Linked DNA regions of Kluyveromyces lactis. The protein of the gene in region 1 interacts with the protein of each later gene in a pairwise test. Links are inferred from orthologs where the notes say so. Each region holds a gene or a part of one and is shown in the gene's direction. Other genes may lie near its edges. The genes, in order: PAT1, LSM7, LSM4 and SCD6.

Evidence for each region.
Region 2: the proteins of PAT1 (region 1) and LSM7 interact in binary tests that used the Saccharomyces cerevisiae proteins (3 or more experiments, as listed by UniProt). The link is inferred for Kluyveromyces lactis from reciprocal best matches to the Saccharomyces cerevisiae genes PAT1 and LSM7.
Region 3: the proteins of PAT1 (region 1) and LSM4 interact in binary tests that used the Saccharomyces cerevisiae proteins (3 or more experiments, as listed by UniProt). The link is inferred for Kluyveromyces lactis from reciprocal best matches to the Saccharomyces cerevisiae genes PAT1 and LSM4.
Region 4: the proteins of PAT1 (region 1) and SCD6 interact in a two-hybrid assay, tested with the Saccharomyces cerevisiae proteins (2 studies listed by BioGRID). The link is inferred for Kluyveromyces lactis from reciprocal best matches to the Saccharomyces cerevisiae genes PAT1 and SCD6.

The regions. Positions count from the first base shown.
Region 1 is NC_006042.1:2,529,585-2,533,797, forward strand, and holds PAT1 (deadenylation-dependent mRNA-decapping factor PAT1), read left to right. Parts: upstream 1-1,363; coding exon 1,364-3,976; downstream 3,977-4,213. Other genes in the region: RQC2 (Rqc2p), read right to left, coding at 1-644. UniProt on the Saccharomyces cerevisiae protein: Activator of decapping that functions as a general and active mechanism of translational repression and required for P-body formation. First decay factor recruited to mRNA, at a time when the mRNA is still associated with translation factors.
Region 2 is NC_006041.1:2,036,760-2,039,287, forward strand, and holds LSM7 (Sm-like protein LSM7), read left to right. Parts: upstream 1-1,521; coding exon 1,522-1,533; intron 1,534-1,663; coding exon 1,664-1,984; downstream 1,985-2,528. Other genes in the region: ALF1 (Alf1p), read right to left, coding at 568-1,320; FUR1 (uracil phosphoribosyltransferase), read left to right, coding at 2,524-2,528. UniProt on the Saccharomyces cerevisiae protein: Component of LSm protein complexes, which are involved in RNA processing and may function in a chaperone-like manner. Component of the cytoplasmic LSM1-LSM7 complex which is involved in mRNA degradation by activating the decapping step.
Region 3 is NC_006041.1:1,855,158-1,857,508, forward strand, and holds LSM4 (U6 snRNA complex subunit LSM4), read left to right. Parts: upstream 1-1,229; coding exon 1,230-1,781; downstream 1,782-2,351. Other genes in the region: SBF complex DNA-binding subunit SWI4, read right to left, coding at 1-166; TMN3 (Tmn3p), read right to left, coding at 2,269-2,351. UniProt on the Saccharomyces cerevisiae protein: Component of LSm protein complexes, which are involved in RNA processing and may function in a chaperone-like manner. Component of the cytoplasmic LSM1-LSM7 complex which is involved in mRNA degradation by activating the decapping step.
Region 4 is NC_006038.1:986,161-988,865, reverse strand, and holds SCD6 (Scd6p), read left to right. Parts: upstream 1-1,255; coding exon 1,256-2,146; downstream 2,147-2,705. Other genes in the region: ANT1 (Ant1p), read right to left, coding at 1-573; peptide alpha-N-acetyltransferase complex B subunit NAT3, read right to left, coding at 2,322-2,705.

The DNA.
Region 1 (4,213 bases):
ACAAATAAAAGTTTTTGAATAGACGGAACAGATGCTTTTCCCTTGAGTTTACCTTTTTTAGCCTCTCCGGGCACAATTGTGCTTTTGGCTTTAACGTCGGCTTCTTTCAACCAATCTGCTATTTCATTTTCGAAATATTCCTTAGGATCAGGAACCGTAGTTGAAGTTTGGTTAATTTCTGCAAAGTTGGCCATGTCATAAAATTCACCAACTTTCATCGAATAATCATCGACAACTCTCTGTAGTAAAAGAATTTTTTGGTCAGCATCCAATAAAAGCACATTTCCGGCACTGAAAAATTCTAAAACAAGGTAGTACTTACCATCAGCAAAAGTAAACACAATTATTCTGTCATTTGGGATCTGCTTAACTGCCGTCAATCGTTTTTCTTTCAAATACGATCTCAATTTGGAAACAAACCACGAAGGAGTCGGGGGAATCGGCCTGGTAAAGTCAGTAGTATGAACTCGCAATCCGCAATCAATGACAACGTTTAACTTGGAATCGGGTTTTCCAAACTTTAATAAGAATTGCCTGTTTGAGTCAGCAATGTTATAGATATTTCTTAAGCGAAATCCTACAATTTGATTCTCCAACTCTTTGGATATCAGTTGCAAATCTAACGAACTCAATCTCTGTTTCATTTTCTAGTATCAAATCCAAGATTATAGTTTAGATATTTCGTACTCTCCAAGTTGCAGTTAAGTCCACTTTACCAGTCTGAGTTGATTCTTTTCGAGCACTATACTTGATTCAGATCTTCATACAAATCAGTATTTTCACTGCTAATCAGATTAAAATTATTAGAACTTGGTCACTGCTATTAGATCAGATATCTTTTATTACTTAGGTTTAAGACTAAACTGCTAAGCTGATATATTTTCCAGATAGCTGTACCTAGGATGTTAGTAGTATATGTCATCTTTGTCTATTCGCAATCACTTTATATATGCTGCTAATGAAGGAAAGAAAGACTACGTACGAGTTTGTATTGGAACTTTCTAAACTACCATGTTGAAAAATGTCAAATATTTGAAATCACATGACCTGAATTTCAAATTTTGAACTAGAAATCCTTAATATGTATATCATCTTGCACGGTGAAATTTTTCATCAAACAACAACCCAAAAATGTAATTCACTTAACAAGCAAAGTAGTTTCTATGCTCAAAAATAAGTGATCAGAGATATTCAGAGACCGTTTGTTGGAAGATTGCTTGAACGAAACGCAGGCAGGTAGCGACTTAAATCACATTACTTGTGTTTTTAAGAGAATATAATAGGATTTGTCGACAATTCTGATCTAGAAATCGATTTTTGCCCAATTAGTATAGGAGTCCTTATATTCCTGAATCACTGAACGATGTCATTCTTCGGTTTTGACGCCACGGGCCGAAAACCTCGTGAGAGGAAACAGCAAGGCGAGGAGGATTCTTTAGATTTCGAAGAAACGTATCAAGGCTTGGGTGATTATGAGCCAGAGGAAGATGATTTGCTCAATGATGAAACTTTTGGTACTGGAGCGGATCTGGGTACAGATTTTGATTTTGGTTACGGTAAAGGGGAGCTTGGCGCTGGTTCAGGTTCTGGTAGGGCACCAGCACCAGCTCCTGTTTCTTATGCATCTATTGCAAATGCCAAAATGAACAGACAAGCAGACTGTAAACCTGGTTTCGAACAATCGCTGGACATGCAACCTATGGAATCTTTATGGGGTAACAGCTCCGGTAATCAGCAACAACAGGTGCAACCTCAAGCCCCTACACAATTCCAAGCCCCACCACAGGTTCAACAGCAAGGTGCACCTAATGTGGAAGGATTGGCCATTCAATCTTTAGACAGACAACAACAGATGGCTATGCCGCCTCAACCTGGATTCTATGGTATGCAACCTCCGCAGAACCCTGGCTACGGCTTTATTCCACAAGGGTTCCCTCAAGGTCAATACCAGCAATTCCCTGGGCAAAATATTCCCCCTGTTATCCCTAATCAATTCGGTAATGCCGGATTTCCTAATCAACCTGTTAACCCTCAGGAACAATTCCAACAAGTACCACCGATAATGTACAATCAAACACAAGGAAACATTGCACATCATATGCAACATCCGCAGATGGCTATGCCACCAATGCAAAATCAACCTCCTGTTCAGCCCCAGCAGCCCCACCAACAGCAGTTACCTCCCCAATACTTGCCTCAACAACACCAACAAGATCAGCAGCACCAACAACAACACCAACAGCAACAAGTGTTCCAACAGCCTCACTCCGTTGACACTGCTGCTAGAACCCAAGCTGTCCGTTCTACTCAAGATTATGAGCATTCTAACTCTCCAACACCTGTGCCAACAGAATCAGAGCAGGTGCCAACTCCACCTCATACACCTAGAGAGTATCGCCGTGGTCCAAGGAGGTTTGGCACCCAAGATCCTTTGACTGATGAAGAATTGAGACGTCTTCAAATCAGACAATCGAAGGTTGACAAAATTCTCAGACACTCTGGTGTAATGACTCCAAGAGACAAGGATTTTATCACCAGGTATCAGTTATCTCAAATTGTCACTGATGATCCCTACAATGAGGATTTCTACTTCCAAGTTTATAAAATCATTCAAAGGGGTGTCACTCCATCTGAATCTAATAAGGATTCTATTGCTAAAGCATATTTAGAGCACTCGGGTCACAGATTAGGAGGTCGTTACAAGAGAACTGACGTCGCGTTACAGAGAATGCAATCTCAGGTCGAGAAGGCTGTTACCGTTGCGAAAGAAAGACCACAGAAAAGTAAGGGTGGGTTGGATAATGCCAAAGAGGGTGTCTTGGGTAAAATCTCAGCTACTAGGAACTCAAAAGCTCCAAGAAAGCAATTACAAATCCCAACTCACAAAGAGGATTCTCCAGCGTTGTCTTCTCAATCAAGCTCAGCCCTAGATGAGGTGTCTGAATCTTTGCAAGGCGTGGATATCAATGCCAAAAGAAGAAGATCATCTTATGCTTTGAGTTCTTCAGTGGACCATCGTACAGTTTTATCCCGTTCTGGTGGCCGTAAGTTCATTTTATCATTGATTGAAACTGTTTACGAAGAAGTGCTTGAACTAGAAGCTCAATTGAGATCCGGTCAACAGCCGGACAGTTCAAAATTATGGGAGGCGCTACACGTTGAGGACCACGGTTTTGACGTTTCTCCCTTCATTTCCATCTTATCTTTCGACAAAGGTATCAAGATTATGCCACGTATTATGAATTTCTTGTCAAGAGAAGAGAAGATTAAGCTTTTCAACTGCTTCTTCAAGGAACTTTCTCATTTGAATGTCATTGTCATATCATCGTACAAGACTACTCCACTTCCTACTAAAGATCAACTGAAGAAGATGGAATTGTTCCAATCTGTGTTTTTGAAGATCATTGTTTCGTTCTTATCCAGTTCAGCAGAGTTTTTGGAGGTAATGAGTCTACTAATAAATGTCATTCAGAATAATAACGTTTCTTTCATCACCACATCGCGTATCGGTTTGAATTTGATTACCGTGCTCATTTCACGTGCTGCTTTGATGAAACAAGATGTTAGCAGGGGCAAACTGTTGTCTTCTGTGGAAGTATCCACTTGGAGTGAAGTCTATGATAGGCTATTTACTTCTTTAGAAACAAAATTGACTGCAATTTTCCCAACACCTGAATATATGCAACACGCCATTTCAGTTTATGAACAGGATTCTACTCAGTATGATCAATCTTACATCTGGCAGTTCCTTGCATCGCTTGCTTTGAGCGGAAAATTGAACCATCAACGTATATTGATTGATGAAGTGAGAGACGAAATTTTCGAAGTCATTTCAAAGGCTGAAGAACTAAATGCCCCTTCTCAACAAGACCCTAAACTGGCTTATCAAAGAAACAAGTTCTATCAGGATTTGAACTTGTTCTTGAATGTCATGGGTCTTGTTGCTCGTGATGGTGAAATCACTGAACTGAAGTGATCGATATCGTGCGCCTCCTCTGATCAGCCCCTATCTCGATTGCCACTGTTAACTGTGTGCTACAAATTCGAAATCAAATCTCAAGGAAAAAAATTGCAAAAAAAAGTCAGCTTTATAGTATCTAAGTAATTCTTCTATTTACTATTACAAATGTATCATATTTCCATCTACTAGAACACTTCAATCCTTATGAACGCCGAAAGTGCAATATGTACCGTAAAGCCAAATGATTCGGTT
Region 2 (2,528 bases), on another chromosome or scaffold:
ATTTATTATAACAACGACAATAGGGCTCAAGCTGAAGTTCCATTAGAAACAACCTTCTCACGAAGCGAAAATCCCGTTAGGGATTTGCTTGATTATAACTCACCGGGGGTTTGAACCCTCGGCGAGCGGACAGCTGCGTTCCACCGAATTTCCCACCTGGAATGAGGAGAACAACTCCTCTGATCAAGTAGAACATTCAAATCACATGACCTCTTCTCAAAACACTTCAAAGTAACGAGCATCCACCTTATACTTAAGAGTGAATATTCTTTGAAGCGCTTCAAGGGCTTAGTATGAAGTTGAGAACAGGAAATGAATTGCCATATTTGATCTTTTTGTAACCAGGTTCATATGAACAGAGACTTTGTGTTCTGAGGAAGATTCGAACCGAAGTCGCAACGTGGCCTTTTTACCAGCTACGGCACAACACCCGACTCAAACCAATTACGAATTCATTCAGTAGTAGACCCTGTCACGTGTGTGTCAGGTGTCATTTCCGTAGTTCAGAGTATCATCCACGAGGCCAAGGACGAGAATATAATTAAACTTATGTAAATTATCAACTCCCTATAACTCATCATCTGTGAGCATCAATTCATCGTCAGCTAATGGCGTGAATTGAGGACCTACTTCAACAACGGCAGGTCTCACAAACCCGCCGTAATTCTTTTTTACTGGTCCGAAATACTTCGTTCCTTGGAATGTACCATTGTTCTTACCGTCAGGTTCGTCAAATTCAATTCCACACCATACATCTGTATTACTGATCTCTTGAACTTTTCCCACGTATCGTAACCATCCTCTTCTTTCGGGGACCTTGGTGGAATCGGTCGTTGTTTCCTCGTTGGACAGTACTCTGCATCTTTCTCCAACGTGTTTTTGTAATAGTTCTGCCTTATCGATATTCAGTTGTAGTTGTTCTTCCATCTTAGAGCGGTATTCAGGATTAAATTTCCCTAACTTGTTATCTTTTTTCCATTGTAATACAGAATCCCTTCTGTTCTCATAATCGTCCATGGTGTATCGGAACGAAACGTCATCGCTATTAGCATGTAGCAAATCATTTTTCAATTGGCTTGCTAAACTGTTTTCGTTGGTGTCTATCACTTTTATGGACTGGATTTTCTCTACTTTCTGGTCTTTGAGATCTTTCAAATACTTGCTGTTCTGTGCATTGCCATTTATCACCAATTTCATGTCTTGAACATCAACACCGGTCAATTCGTTCAATCTTTGGCCCAGATGGTCCCATGATGTACCAGGTTTCACAAAGATCTGAGTGTTAACCAAATCGGATATAATTTCCACGTCAGATGACATTATCGGTGCTGATATATCCTCTGTTTTATTTTGTCTTCGATGCTGTAAGTTCAATGTTTGTCGTTTTGTCCAGGCATGTTTGAACATCGAATTTTTCAATGTTCCGTAAACTTAAATGAAAAGTTAATTTGAAACCAGTAACACACTTTGACAATAACCCATTGAGCAAACAGCGCTACCCCACCCAACCAACTACTAATAATGAGCGAAGCAGTATGTTAACTACTATAATTAGGACGGCTTTCTAAAACTTCTTCAACTTTCTCAAAACAATGATCCATTCTACATTTTAAGTTCAAATTTACTAACAGTTAGAGAGTTTATACATTCCCCTTCTCTGCAGAGGCAATCACAACAACCGAGACAAGAGCAGAAGAAGAAGTTCGAAGGCCCAAAGCGTGAGTCTATCATAAATCTTGCACAATATAAGGACACAGAAGTACGTGTCAAGTTCATAGGGGGAAGACTGGTCACTGGAATCCTAAAGGGTTATGACGAGCTAATGAACTTGGTTCTTGACGAAACCGTCGAATATGCAAGAGACCCAGAAGATGAAACCATCATCCACAAGGACCAAGCCAAAAAAATTGGTTTGGTCGTCATAAGAGGAACAGCTCTACTTTCGCTATGTTCCCTCGAAGGTGCTGAGATCATCAATACCTAGTTAAGACCCAAAAAAAAAAAATTTCAAGCAACAGTGTACCATATATGTTCATTAATAGTGCTATATAACGTTCAGTGCTATATCAAACTCACACTATGAGCCCATATCCACATTTCTACCTGTATCTAATGAAATAAGTATCTCCAACGGAGATACTTTCCTAACCGGCTACATCTCACTTATCAAGACCTAATCTGCACAAATGTGCGTTCACGTGACTTATTGAATCTTTTTTCTAACATCAGCAAAGCTTTTTGGTTAAATTTCGACCAAAAAACCGTATCTCATCGCATCGACTGATTAGAGAGATATCTTGAATTCTTTAAACCGACTGCGTCCAGGTGTTCATTTATATATATGTGAGTATATATCTCTTGTGAGAGTTGTTCTTTTAACGTTTCAAATTCTCTTTTCGCTTGTTGCTGCAAATCTGTTTGAATAATATTTTCTGTAGTATTCTTACTCTTTACTGAAGACCAATCAATTAGCGCATCAAAGCGAACTTCACTTAGGTTTATCTGCTGCTAAAAGAAAATAATATGAG
Region 3 (2,351 bases), on another chromosome or scaffold:
ATGAAGAAGAATTATTGGTAGCACCACTATTAGCTCCTAATAAATTAGAATTGAACGGTTTCAAAAGTGTATCATTCTCAGAATGATGATGAGTGCCCATGTGCATTTGAAGGATAGATTCCTTGTCAAAAACGTTGCCGCTATGATGCGACAAGTGTTGTTCCATAATTACACGAAAGAAATAAATGCACACGAAATCCTAATTGTTTTAGACAAAACAAAGCAAAGAAAAGCACGCCAGAGTCAACAAAGCGTTTCGAGTCGAGTGTCACCTTCTGCTGCTGCTTCTGCTTCTGCTCCTGGCAATGTGATCTCAAGCTCGCTCACTTTGTAAAATTCAACGTAAAATATACCACGCAGTTACGGTTATTCTAGCTTTTCCACCAGTGCCCAAAAATGTATCCAGATATCGGAGTAGCAGACCAAATCAATCTCAACTGGAATGCTCTGATATTTAGCTAAGTTCACGTAGCCTACAGACACTGTTAATAACAAAGGTATACACAAATCATAAATGACATTGTAAAGTGCGTGAGAAAGTCTGCTTTCAAAAGATTATAATCTTTATTTTAAACTGTGATCAAATCTCTTTACCCAATTGGGAAAAGAAAGATTAGATGCCTCACCAAAAAAAAAATCTCAGATCTCACATTTCAAACCTCACTCCAGTGTGTTCCCATATTCAAAGCTGAGGCAACCTTTCAAAACGCCTAGAAGGGTCCGTATGACACGAAGGAGTAGGGGGGCAGAAACAGTCTTAAAAGTGAAAAAATAAGAGAAAAATCAATAATCAGATTATATTCACGTGTCAGTATTACCCGGGACACTCACGTGATTCGAAACTTTTAAGTGTTACCCGGTAAATGAATTTTATGAAATGTCGAGAATGCTTTTTCCAGCTCAATGAAATTTGGAAAAACTGAAGTTATATTGTAATTGGAATTTAAATATTGTCAATGCAATTGTATGCATTTGGTTCGTCCTACTAGGGAGTGTTACATAACTCAAACTACAGATACGCAGATAAGCAACAAAGTCTAATTCATACTTTTTTCCCTCACATTTTTCCTTCTCCAGACAGACAGAGTCCTAATTTTTTGGTATATTGTATATTGTTCCGGCCCCACCCTTTCCTACGATTAAGTTACTACGGTTTGAGATACCTAAAGAAATACGACAGCACGGGCACACTATAATTGGTAAAACAGATCAATAAGTTATAACATAAAATGCTTCCATTATATTTATTGACCAATGCAAAGGGTCAAACAATGCATGTTGAACTAAAAAATGGAGAAACTGTGGAAGGTACGCTATCTGATGTAGACAATTGGATGAACTTGACACTTTCCAATGTCACTCATGTAGCTAGTGGAGAGACTTTGAAATTACCAAGCTTCTATTTGAAAGGTTCTTTCATCAAGTATGTTAATTTGCAAGATGATATCATAGACAAGGTAAAACAACAATGGGGTCAAAACAGAGGCGGTAAAGACGATAGAAGAAGAAATAACAACTACAATAATAACAATAATTATTATCAGAATAGGGATGGTAACAGAAGAGGTGGTAGAAGAAACTATCAAAACTCAGGTAACAGAAGGGATTACAACAACAACAATAATAATAATAATAATAATAATAACAATACTCACAGCCATAACAATGCAGGATCTCGTCGTTATAATATTCAAAATAGATCACAATACGATGCATCATCCAATCCACAGCTTTCGTATTCGCAGGCGTCAAACAATAGTAATCAAACTCCACAATTTTGATTTAACCTCTTTTCTCAGCATTTAATTCTTAAGTATTTGTGTGTCTACATGGTTACATATTCAATCACTTTTATTGCGGTTAAAGAGACTATTTTGTTGGCTTGGACGGTCAAAAGTCTATAAAAACATCTGTTTCGATTGCATTCGATGCGATATCCTAAACCTTTTTCTCGTTACTCCTTTCACACTTTTGAGATTTAAAACTGAATTTGGGTTATGAAATTAAAAGAACTACCTATTAATTATGATTCAGAGTTAGTGAACCTTAAGTTCAAAGCAGTATATCAGTGCTTTATATATTAAGAGTATGTGAGCATGGGTACCGTGGAAAAGATCAAATGTTGTTATTTTTTAAATTACTCTATACAAAAATGCTTGGTTTAGAAAGTCCATGCTAGATATGCAGTATTATATAGGAGAAATATGAGACTCCTGAAGAGAGCCGGACTTTTTTTTTTTGGCCTCACTTTAAATATAAGAGGCGAACTTATTTAGCCTTGTTATATTCATTCAGCTTACCGATGAACCACAATGAGCTTAGGTAACTTAAAGATCCAAATGCTGTCCAGC
Region 4 (2,705 bases), on another chromosome or scaffold:
CTTGAAACTGTTGTCCCCTTCTAAACCACGTCTAGTCTGTTGTTTTGTCGAAACAATGTTGATTGGATTAGTGAATAACTGAGAGGTTGCTGCTGCCAGCATGGAAAGCAGCAATTCTTCAATTGTTGAAAACCTGGCAGCCTCACCCTTCACTTTCTTCACACGGAAATAATGTCTTCTGATCAAGGTATACCAGAAGAAATAAGAGAAACTCTGTATGAAAGTTCCAAGCAATGATGCGCTTAACCCATGGTATAATCCACCAAACCCTTCATTCCGATAAACTTTTACAATCACATCTAATGCATGCTTATACCGCTGCTCCAATGACTCTTTAGTCGCTGTCGGAGGTTCAGGCTTCGGTTTAATCTGCTGTATACCGTGTTTCTTCGGTTTACTGGAGCCAGTACTTTCCTTGGTAGAGACATCAGCTTGAACATCAGAAGAAGGGTACAAATCACCTTGTTTCAACTGAGTTTGAATCACAGTTTTCGCCAAATCAAGTGGATACACTGCCAAATTGGCAAACCCGCTGGAGACTGCCCCAACGAAAGCATTCTCTAAACTTGCCATATGTTACGGTGGTACGTGATTTAATTGACCCTGATCTACTAAACTTCGGCGTTTATAAAATTGATTATCTCCTGTTCACAATAAATTGTTAGAGGGGCGGTGATTCATTCAATAAGCACTGCAAAGTACTAAATTTACTTTTTTTTTTGATTTTATTATTCTCCGCTTCCAACCGAAGAGTTTAGGCTTGAAAACAGGAACATTTTGCACTTTACACCTTAGAAATTATATTCCATTTATATAGTAGTTACTTTCCCAGAATTATTCCCCAATTAGATGAATAGCGGTCACTTATCACAGATTATTTTCCAGTTTTTCGGCTGTAATGTCCCTTCTCCACACATTTTTTGGCTCTCGTCTGCCTCGAAGTGAGGATTCTTCGAAAAGAAAAAAAAAAAGTGTTGATATTGATCACGTGGTTTTGAAATGCCATTCGTCAACATCGAAAATTAATATTGAAACCGTCAAAACTATGAATTTCCATGCAGGTATTTCCAATTGAAGAATCTTTAGAAATCTAAGGGACTATGACATTGAATAATACTGACTGCATCTGCTAACGTTCGCTCTTAATTTAGAACTATTCCCACACTTTGATCGTTGTTCAAGAAGGATATTTGTTTGTATCTAGTGGGTTTTAGAAGTTAATTTATTGATTATAGAGTGTCCACTTTTTGAAAGGATGTCGCAATATATTGGTAAGACTATTGCTCTTATTTCGAATACTGATAACCGTTATGTCGGCTTATTGGAGTCTATTGACTCTGAGAAAGGTGTTGTTACTTTAAGACAAGTTCGTTGTTTCGGTACAGAGGGACGCAAGGGATGGGGCCCGGAAGAAATCTATCCCAACCCTAATATCTACGATACGGTGCCTTTCAACGGTAATGACGTTAAGGATTTAAACATTTTAGACGTTCCTTTGGAACAAGTACAACCTGTATTGCCACCTCAGGTAAGCGGTCAACCACCAGCTCCGTTGGCTAATGCAAATGGGCCCAACGTTCCTGCTGCGGTGGCCGGGTATGGTGTGTACGCTCCAGACAAGGATCAGCAGCAAGTTCCCCAACAACACCAGCAAAAACAGCAGCAGCAAAGACAGCAGACCCGCCAACAGCCTGTTACCGAAAAGAAAGTTCCTAACCAGCAACAGCAGAAGTCTGCGGCTCCTGCTGCTCCTGTGGCTGCGGTGGCTCCTTCTGCTGTTCCAGATTCTGAATTTGATTTCGAAAGTAACAACGCCAAATTCCAGAATGCTGAAAAGCCCAGAGAATCAGATATAGAACAAGAGAAGCAAACCTCCAAGACAGATGAGATTTTCTACGATAAAAAATCCTCATTCTTTGATTCCATTTCAAGTTCCGCCGTAGAAAACTCGTCTTCTGCCAAATGGGAAGAGGAACGCCAGGTCAACTTGGATACTTTCGGTCAAGCCAGACCAAGAAACAATGGTCGTGGCGGCTTCAGAGGTCGTGGTGGATATAGAGGTAACCGTGGCGGTAACCGCGGTGGCTTCCGTGGTGGAAATCGTAATGCTGCCAACAAGCCACCAGTCCATGATGTTGAATCTTAACAGAACCCCATTAAATACCTATTATCTCAACTACCTCTTAACACACCGGGAAATTGAAGCTAACACGAAATGAATCGAGCAATCTATCGAAGTAAAAGCAGGGAAAGACGCATGTGTAACATAGAAACACTAAGTATACAAATTTAAAAGCTATTATAATTTTAAAAGTACAGCATTAAAACCGTATGTCCATCGGCAAGCAATTATGTTTCCGTCCATCAGCACGAAGACTTTTTCCCTGGTCTCTTTCCATCCCATGTCTCATGTCAAAGGCATCCTTGAGGTCATTTGGTTTTGTTGACCGGGAAGGTATTGGATCAGTTTGCGAGTTGTAATATCCTACAACTCTTCTATAGACAGAATATCCCAATTTTTCATATAAACTGATCGCCAATTGGTTATTGCATTTCACAAATAAATCAATAAAGTTCACATTATGCGGGGAGTTATCTGTTATGGTTTTTAATGTGTCACATAGCATCGATGCAAGCGATATTCTCCTGAACCTAGGTGATATCGTCACAGCAGTAATGTGTGCATGCCAGTCTTGTCCTTTTCC